2 linked regions of the Coturnix japonica genome follow. The protein of the gene in region 1 interacts with the protein of each later gene in a biochemical or structural test. Links are inferred from orthologs where the notes say so. Each region holds a gene or a part of one and is shown in the gene's direction. Other genes may lie near its edges.

Region 1 (4,265 bases):
TTCTCCACTTTCAAGCTCCTTTAGTGCACTGATATACACAGAATCTGATGATCCACTGGACACTCAGAAAATTAGTGACGGATATAATTCTTTGGACAGACTTTCTAGTTGATCACATTGGAAGAAGGATATAAAATGTGAATTTCAGTAAGAACATACAATCATTCCCAATGACACCGCAGGAAAAACTCTTAGTATGTCAAATAGATTTGCTGCCTGTGTAAATGCAGAGCTGCGTTCCCCAGCTTTACTGATGTAAATGCATTTTACGCACCTTTATTTTGTTAACAGTGCAAAGCTGTGGGAAGATGTGGCATTTTCTAAATTCTAACGAGCTTCCAATTACAGAAACACGATCATCAGTGATCGCATGCTTCTGAACAAATCAAAGCACTCTTACGGCCCAGTTAGATTTTATGGCACTGTCAATTAGAAAATAAACAAAATCCCTTAATGAGTAAACAGGGAAAATTTTGATACTGGAAGCACAGAGAAATCATAAATCTGTCAAAGCCATTTCCACAACATCGTTTTTCAGAGCGGAGCAGCTCTTAAAATCTGACAAAATACTGCCCTGCTGCAAGCGACAGTTCTCGTTGCTGCAGCAATCCGTAATGGTTTGGGAAGGGCTTTAAACTAAAGCAGGGGACATTTAGGTTAGACGTTAGGAATAAATTCATCTCTAAGAGGGCGGTGAGGCCCTGGCACTGCTGCCCAGAGAGCTGTGGGTGCTCCATCCCTGGAGGTGCCCAAGGCCAGGCTGGATGGGGCCCTGGGCAGCCTGAGCTGGTGGGGGGCAGCCAGCCCACAGCAGGGTGTTGGAGCTGGGTGTGCTTTGAGGTTCCCTCCAACAGGAGCCATTCTGTGACTGTATTATTTGTGTGTACTGAGAGCAGAACGGCCTAGCAAGCAGCAAGGAGGCTGAGATGCAGCACCTAGACTCATGGCCTGGGTTGCTACCCTGTCCCCAGGCAGCCCCCCTTGCTGTGGGAAAGGATACTGGAATATCCTCTAAGTGATACCGCATTATTGAATCAATCAGGATTTAGGAGGCGCAGGGAAAAACCTGCAGCGTGTTAAGTAGATTTGTACGGCTTCAGGAAAGCTTCACAAAGTTGCTCTGGCGCTGTACAGGAGCCACATGCTTTCTGAGCAGCAGAGGTGCCACGAAACCACCGTGGCCCCGTGCTTGATGCCTGCTTTTTGGAGTTCATTGCCAACACTTTGGGAACACTTCGGCAAGACCAGACACCCGCACCTCAAAGCCAGGAGAAACTATAAAGTGACCCACACCCAGGCTCTGGCAACCGGACGCCCCTTGTAGAGGCCGGCGGTGCCTCTCAAAGCCGGCAGCCCGAAGCGGGGCCCGGGGCCGGGTAGGCGGCGGGCTGAGGGGAGCAGCGAGGCGGAGCAGGGCGGCCCCACAGCGCGGCCCCACAGCGCGGCGGGGCGGGCGGGAAGCGGAGCGACGGCGGTAGGACCCGGAGGATGTGAGAGAGAGCGTGTGGGACGAGCCCGGCTCCGGCTGCGGGGAGCTCGGCCCTGCGGCTCCGGGGGTGCTGCTGAGCGAGAGGCAGCCTCCTCCTCTCGGCCAGAGGCAGGAGCGAGGCGGAGCGGCGGGGAAGGCAGAGCCGGCAGCCCGTGTGAGCCCCATGGGCCGAGCGCCTGCGAGAAGGGGAGGAGGAGCCGGCCCGCCGCCCGCCGCCCGGGGATGGTGAGGAGGCGGCGGCTGCCGTGAGCCCAGTTAGGCCTTCGCTCGGCGCCCGCCCGCCAGGCTCTCCCTTCCTCCGCTCGCTCGCTCCCCCCTTCCCTCCCCTTCCCCTGCCTCTTTCCCCTGCCGCCGCCGCCGCCGCCCTCCCATCACCTCCACCCTGGGCTCCCGGAGCCATGTAAGTGACCCGCTCCCGGGGTGGGAAGGGCCGGGGGAAGGAAGCGCCGGGGCCTGCTCCGCCGCGCATTGTGCGGGGCCGGGAGGGGCGGACAGGCGAGGCGAGGCGGCCGCTCTGCTCCTTCCCCGGGCGGCGGCCGCCGGGCGCCCGCTGACCCGCGTAGGCCGCGGCGGGGGCTTTTGCTGGCCCGGGCTGAGGCACCGAGGGGCCGCCGGGGGTGTGCGTGTATGTACGGGGTAGGGGGGGGCAGGGCTGCGGCCCGGAGCCGGGCGGGAGGGCTCGGGGCGAACAGGAAGCTGTTGGCTTCCCTGGGATGCGGGGAATGGAAGTGCTGCGGGGTGGGGGGCTCCCCCGGCCGCCCTCTGGGCCTGCTGCAACCGCGTCGTCCCCGAGCATCTCCGAGGGAAAAAGGGGCTTTGGGGCAGAGGGAGGCACGGGGCATTTCCCAAAGTGTAGCACAGAAAGTGGCCGATCGTTCCTCCATCTACTCCCCCCGCCCCCATTTTCTCCCTTTATCTTTTGTGCGGCTCCGCGCTGCGTTGAGGATCGGGGAGTGTTTACAGTCGGGGGTGTGAGTCTCCGTGTGTTGGTGGTGCTGGGCAGTGTTGCTGGGCCCCATTGCTTTGAGTTCTTGCGGCGGTGTTGTGCAGAGCTGCGAGGAGCTGCTTACAGCCAACCCCCCTCCGCCCCCCAGGTGGAATTCTGCAATCGCTGAAACGTTCCTGCAGACTTCCAGGACTTTTCCTTTGGGTTCTTTGTAGAGCTCAGAATTCTAACAGTGTGTGCTGTATTTGCTGTCTGTTTTTACTGACACAAAGGTACAGATGCAGGTTGCACCTTATTGGGATTCCCCCTGCCCCTGGGAAAGGATTTAACCATTTTTCTCTCTGCTTTATTTTTCTTCCATCCCACCCATACAAGAAGCTAATCCCTGCTTTACTCTTGTTTGCTGTACTTATGCCACCAGGAGGGATGTACATTTTGAAATACAGTTACAAAGGGGCGTTACTAAGACTTAATTCAGAAGAATATTTGTTTACAGGTAAATAAACGTAACGCAGCCTATGACTAGTAATTACTTTTTTGTAGCAGCTAATTTCCTGATGACAGCCACAGCATTTGTCTGAGTTAATAGATTTAAAGGCACCGTGGAACTACCTTTGATTTTCTTTAAACAGGAGGGTTTTCCTTGTGTACATTATAGAACTGCTTTAGGTTCTGAGCTGCAGCAGTAAATCGAATCTAAGAATTGATCCAGTGTCCACAAGTAACCTGTAGCTCCGGCGTTGCTGGCTTATAGAAACAACCTGTAAGTAATTACAAATAGGATTAAATGGGTTCATGAGTGACTTGGTTTGTTTGGGAGACGGAACAAAACTTCCGTTATAAATACTTTGAAACGGGATTTGATTAAATGCATCTTAAGTCGGTGCAGAAGTTCTGAGCAGCACAGTCATTAAATTATATGAGGGTAAACTGTAAAAGGCCTTCTTCTTGTTTTGGAACATAAAGAAGATTTTGTTTAGCCTATGTCTTTGACGGAGAGTATGAAGAGATCTCTTTTTCTGCCATTGCTTAGTTTTGAAATACGCAGTTCAGTTTGTCCTATCAAACTGCAGTTGTGGTTGAAGCTCAGACAGCTGCATGTCGTAACTCTGGCCCCTCACCTGAACCAAATCAACCTCCTGTCTATTGATTAGTGGAGACGTGAGAGCACAGGCATTCCAAATTGCAGCTTTGTAAACCTAGATTGTGCTGACGGATTGGAGGAAAAGTGGATGTGGCTTTAGAGATCTTTTCTCCACTTACTGCTTTTTCCCGCAGTTCTTAGTGTCAGAGAAGCATTATTAAACCTTGTGATAAGCTGCACGTACAGTCATGAAATACTCATTTAGACATGGTGTTGTTCTGAATGGAACATCACATGAGCTAGTAGCAAAATATTTGTGACCATGCCTAACTCATGGGCCACAATGCATTTTTGTAAAGCAAGCTAAGATGCTGGAACAACCTGGTCCTTCTGTTCTCTCTTGAAAGCTGTCTGCCCAGATTGAGTAACTAGGTCATGGTGTGAAGCCGCTGTGAGTTCACAAGGCCTTGAGTGCTTTGGAAGCGCTGCTTCTCCTGGGTAGGATTTGCATAATGCAGGAGATGTACTTCACTGGTCAGAGCCTGGTGGAGATACTGCTCCGTACGCTCTACTTAAAACGTTTGCTGGAGCCCAACTTTGTTGCTCTTGTGCCGTTTGGATACAGTTGGCTGTGAGCTTAAAGGGAGAGCGGGGATATGATGCAGAAAGAGAGCGCAGGTTGCTGGTGTGATGTGTGGGCCCCACAACACGCACCTCTGCTCCCCTGCTGTTCTTGTGACGGTGCC
Region 2 (3,513 bases), on another chromosome or scaffold:
CATTACTAATTCCAGTACATGTATTCCCTCAGTGACTTAGGAATTGGCTGATAAAGCTTGCCAACTTGGTCTTAGAGTTGCATTACTCCTCTGTAGATGGGTACTCTTTTACCCCAGACTTTTATATAGATTTGCTACTCCAATTAATACATTGAGAGTAATGACTTTCTAAAATAGGTTGTTTTAAGTCTTACATAGAGAAATGTGGAAAGGAATACTGCTTTTCAAGATGCTTGTCAACACTGATGGTAGGTAATTAAAGTTATATCCAAATCTCATGAAGATGGTATTAGCCTATGCTGTTAGAGAGTAGATAAGAACACAAGACGCATTTAAAAAGAATGAATAAAAAATAGTTTGCTCTGAAAGTATTGCCTCTTATTTTATTATGTTTTTCCACAATATCAGAGTCAGATGTTCGTGGTATGGCAGTAGAGGTAGGTTGAGTCTTCCCACCAATATCCTGTTGCACTTTGTTGCTGTGCAGCAAATTGCAGCAGAGAGGCAATCCAACAAAATGGTATCTGACATGGAAGTACATAGGAAGCAAAGGTGTGTCATTGAACACCTCCATGTGGAAAAAATGGCTCCTGTTTACATTCATTTGCACCTGTGGAATGTTTATGGACACCAAACACTGGGTGATAGCACAGTGGGACACACCACTGGTGGGGTGTTGGCTGGGATGTGGAAGAAAAACTTGTTTTTCATGTGGCCATGCACAGCTGTCACACCAGAAAATGGGAATTACCTAAGCATTTTATAGCTGAGAACTTGCTCTTTGTGCATGTTGTCATTTGCATGAAAACAAACAAGGCATTACTTTTAGAATCACATACATACATTGTTGGCAGACTAAAATTAGTCTTCATGGATGATTTTGTTTTTGCAGTGTTGACATTTATTTTCCTGAGGTGGTAATTATTTTGTGAATGGTCACAATTATATGAGCTGTTAGGCAATTTTTTTACTAGTTTATAAACAATATTATGTATACTGAAATGTATTAGGGTCTGATGAGGTTTTTCAGGTTAAAGTTAGGTGTGATACATTTCTTCTGTTCCTTCTAACAGTTTTTCTGAGATACTTAGAGTTTTCTGTGAAGTCCTAATGTCAAGTTATGGTTATTTTGGAGGGCACACGTTCAGATAATAAAGAAGCTCAGCTTTAATTAAGAAGCAATTCTTATTTTCCTTCTTTATAAAGTATCATACAATAAAAAATAAGCCACCAAAATGTATAGTGTCAAACTTTATATTCTTTTAGGAGTATAACTTAAAGTATGTTGAGTTGATTGAAGAACAACTTAATGAAGCACTTACAACGTATCGCAAACCTGTTGATGGTGATAACTATGTTCGTCGGAGCAACCAAAGGTAAACACTGTTTACAAAAATCTTCATTTAAAAAAAAAAAAAAAAGAGTAACTCACTGCATTACTGCATTACACTTCAGCATAATTTATTTTAATAGATAATTTCAAAATTTCTGGGAAAGGTGTTTTTTTTTCCCCCCACCAGATTACAGCGGCCACATGTCTACCTGCCAGTTCACCTTTATGGCCAACTGGTGCACCATAAAACAGGCTGCCATTTACTGGAGTCTCAGGTAAGGATTATAATGATTTATAACTTGAAGGATTTTAGTGTACAGCATTCCTTTTTTTAAGGAATGTGTTTTAAGAGATGTCAGTTAAACAGTGACTACAAAATAAGTAGATTGTAAAACTGATGTGTTACAGGGCCATAATTTTGTGAACCTTTCCATCCAGACTAATGCAAAATTCTTTCCTGACACTGAAATATCAGAGAAATACCTTGCAGTATTTTTCTTAAAATGACCAGTTAAAAAAAAAAAAAAAAGAAACAATGGGAAGCAAATTGGTAGTAGAAATATAGTTTAGTGCCTTTTTTAGTGCTAGAATTGTCTATCCTTTCATGCGTATAAATGCATAGAGTTGAGGTAATAAAACGTTCTTTCAGATATCTAAGAAATGTTTAAAAAAAAAAAAAAAAGCTGTTTACTTATTATTTGAAGTGATTTTTAAAGTGAATTTGCAAAAAGGTGAATTGTCTCTAGTATTTAAAAACTTTGTGAGCGCTTATGTTGTGGAAGAAGTTTTCCTTTATAAAATCAGAGATAACCTCATATTTATTAATGCATGCATCAGATTATTGATGTTTTTACCTACATTACTTTTCCTCTTAACTTAGGCTTATTATGCCAGAGCTACTGCTATTCACAGTGAGATGCATTTTTAGCAAACATAAAGCAGTAATTTAAAAAGTATATAAGATAACCTAATTAGATGAGGTCTCTTCATTTTCAGCTGACTGCTTTTTCTTCTTTTTTTTTTTTTCTCCTTCAGAGTATTGTTACGGATCTGAGTTACACTGTTCGTTCCCCAATGCTGGATAAGTGGGAAGGAATTAAGCAGCTGAAAGCAGCCCTTTGGGCCTTGGTTAGTAACATGTTTACAATCTTTTTACAGTGGCTTGAGTTCTGTTACAACTTTGTATTCTGAAGTAACTGAACAAAATCCTTTAAAACCATTGTTTACAAATTCTTCTAAAAAATATTTGCTTCTTCCCTCCCAGTTGTTTTTTTATATCGTAACTGAAATATCATATGGATTTTGTTCACTATGTATATTTTTTCTAAGCGTTTTGTGTCACTGCTTTAGCTATTACTGTTTTTAAAAAAAAAAAAAAAAAAAAAAAAATTCAGCATGTAGTGACAGTGTCAGCAGGTTGTAACTTCTGATTCCAGACTGTGTTCCACAATATGTTTCTACAGGAAAGCTTGCTTCCATAGTTGAGGTTTGTGAATATAGTCTTAACCTCTCTCTGGTACTGGGGATAACGCTGAGTAAAACATGGTGTCTTTTCTTATTCAAGCTATAATTCCAAAGCTGCTTGATCACCTTGATTGTTCCCTTTTTTCCTGTTGCCTTCAAATTTTCTTTTCTAATACTTATCTTGAACAAATGTTTAATAATGTAAAAAATGCTTATTTGAGAGGTAAGTAAAATAAGTAAACTAAGATTTTAATGCTGGCTGTAGTAGAATTGGTAGGTTGAGGAGTGTGTAGTAGTTAGCAGTTTGAGTTGTACATAGTATCCTGAGTCTTTTACTGGATTTGCATGACTGAGATAAAAAGGAGAGAAAATGCTCAGTTTTCTTAAATCTTTGAGAGGATGATGCTAGAAACCATATCACTGACAAAAGTGTTGAGGGCGTTTTTTCATAGATGTTGCAGATCACATCAAACTCAAAACTTTTCTGACAAACTATTTTATTCCAGGGTAACATTGGATCATCAAATTGGGGTCTTAACTTGCTTCAAGAGGAGAATGTAATTCCAGATATAATGGCACTTGCCCAGCATTGTGAGGTTCTCTCTGTTAGAGGGTATGTGTATTTAACTTCTAAACAAAATTTTTAGATTGCAGACCCAGAATGCTTTCAAATACTCTTGCTTCTTTCATGTAGATGTTTTTTTGCTACTTGGAAA

The links. The genes of interacting proteins can lie anywhere in the genome.
Region 2: of the proteins of AKT1 (region 1) and RICTOR, one has a biochemical effect on the other in vitro, tested with the Homo sapiens proteins (7 studies listed by BioGRID, with this or other methods). The link is inferred for Coturnix japonica from reciprocal best matches to the Homo sapiens genes AKT1 and RICTOR.

The regions. Positions count from the first base shown.
Region 1 is NC_029520.1:46,986,315-46,990,579, reverse strand, and holds the start of AKT1 (RAC-alpha serine/threonine-protein kinase), read left to right. Parts: upstream 1-1,462; 5' UTR 1,463-1,889; intron 1,890-4,265. UniProt on the Homo sapiens protein: AKT1 is one of 3 closely related serine/threonine-protein kinases (AKT1, AKT2 and AKT3) called the AKT kinase, and which regulate many processes including metabolism, proliferation, cell survival, growth and angiogenesis.
Region 2 is NC_029547.1:11,164,387-11,167,899, reverse strand, and holds part of RICTOR (rapamycin-insensitive companion of mTOR), read left to right. Parts: intron 1-1,266; coding exon 1,267-1,376; intron 1,377-1,520; coding exon 1,521-1,608; intron 1,609-2,368; coding exon 2,369-2,461; intron 2,462-3,303; coding exon 3,304-3,410; intron 3,411-3,513. UniProt on the Homo sapiens protein: Component of the mechanistic target of rapamycin complex 2 (mTORC2), which transduces signals from growth factors to pathways involved in proliferation, cytoskeletal organization, lipogenesis and anabolic output.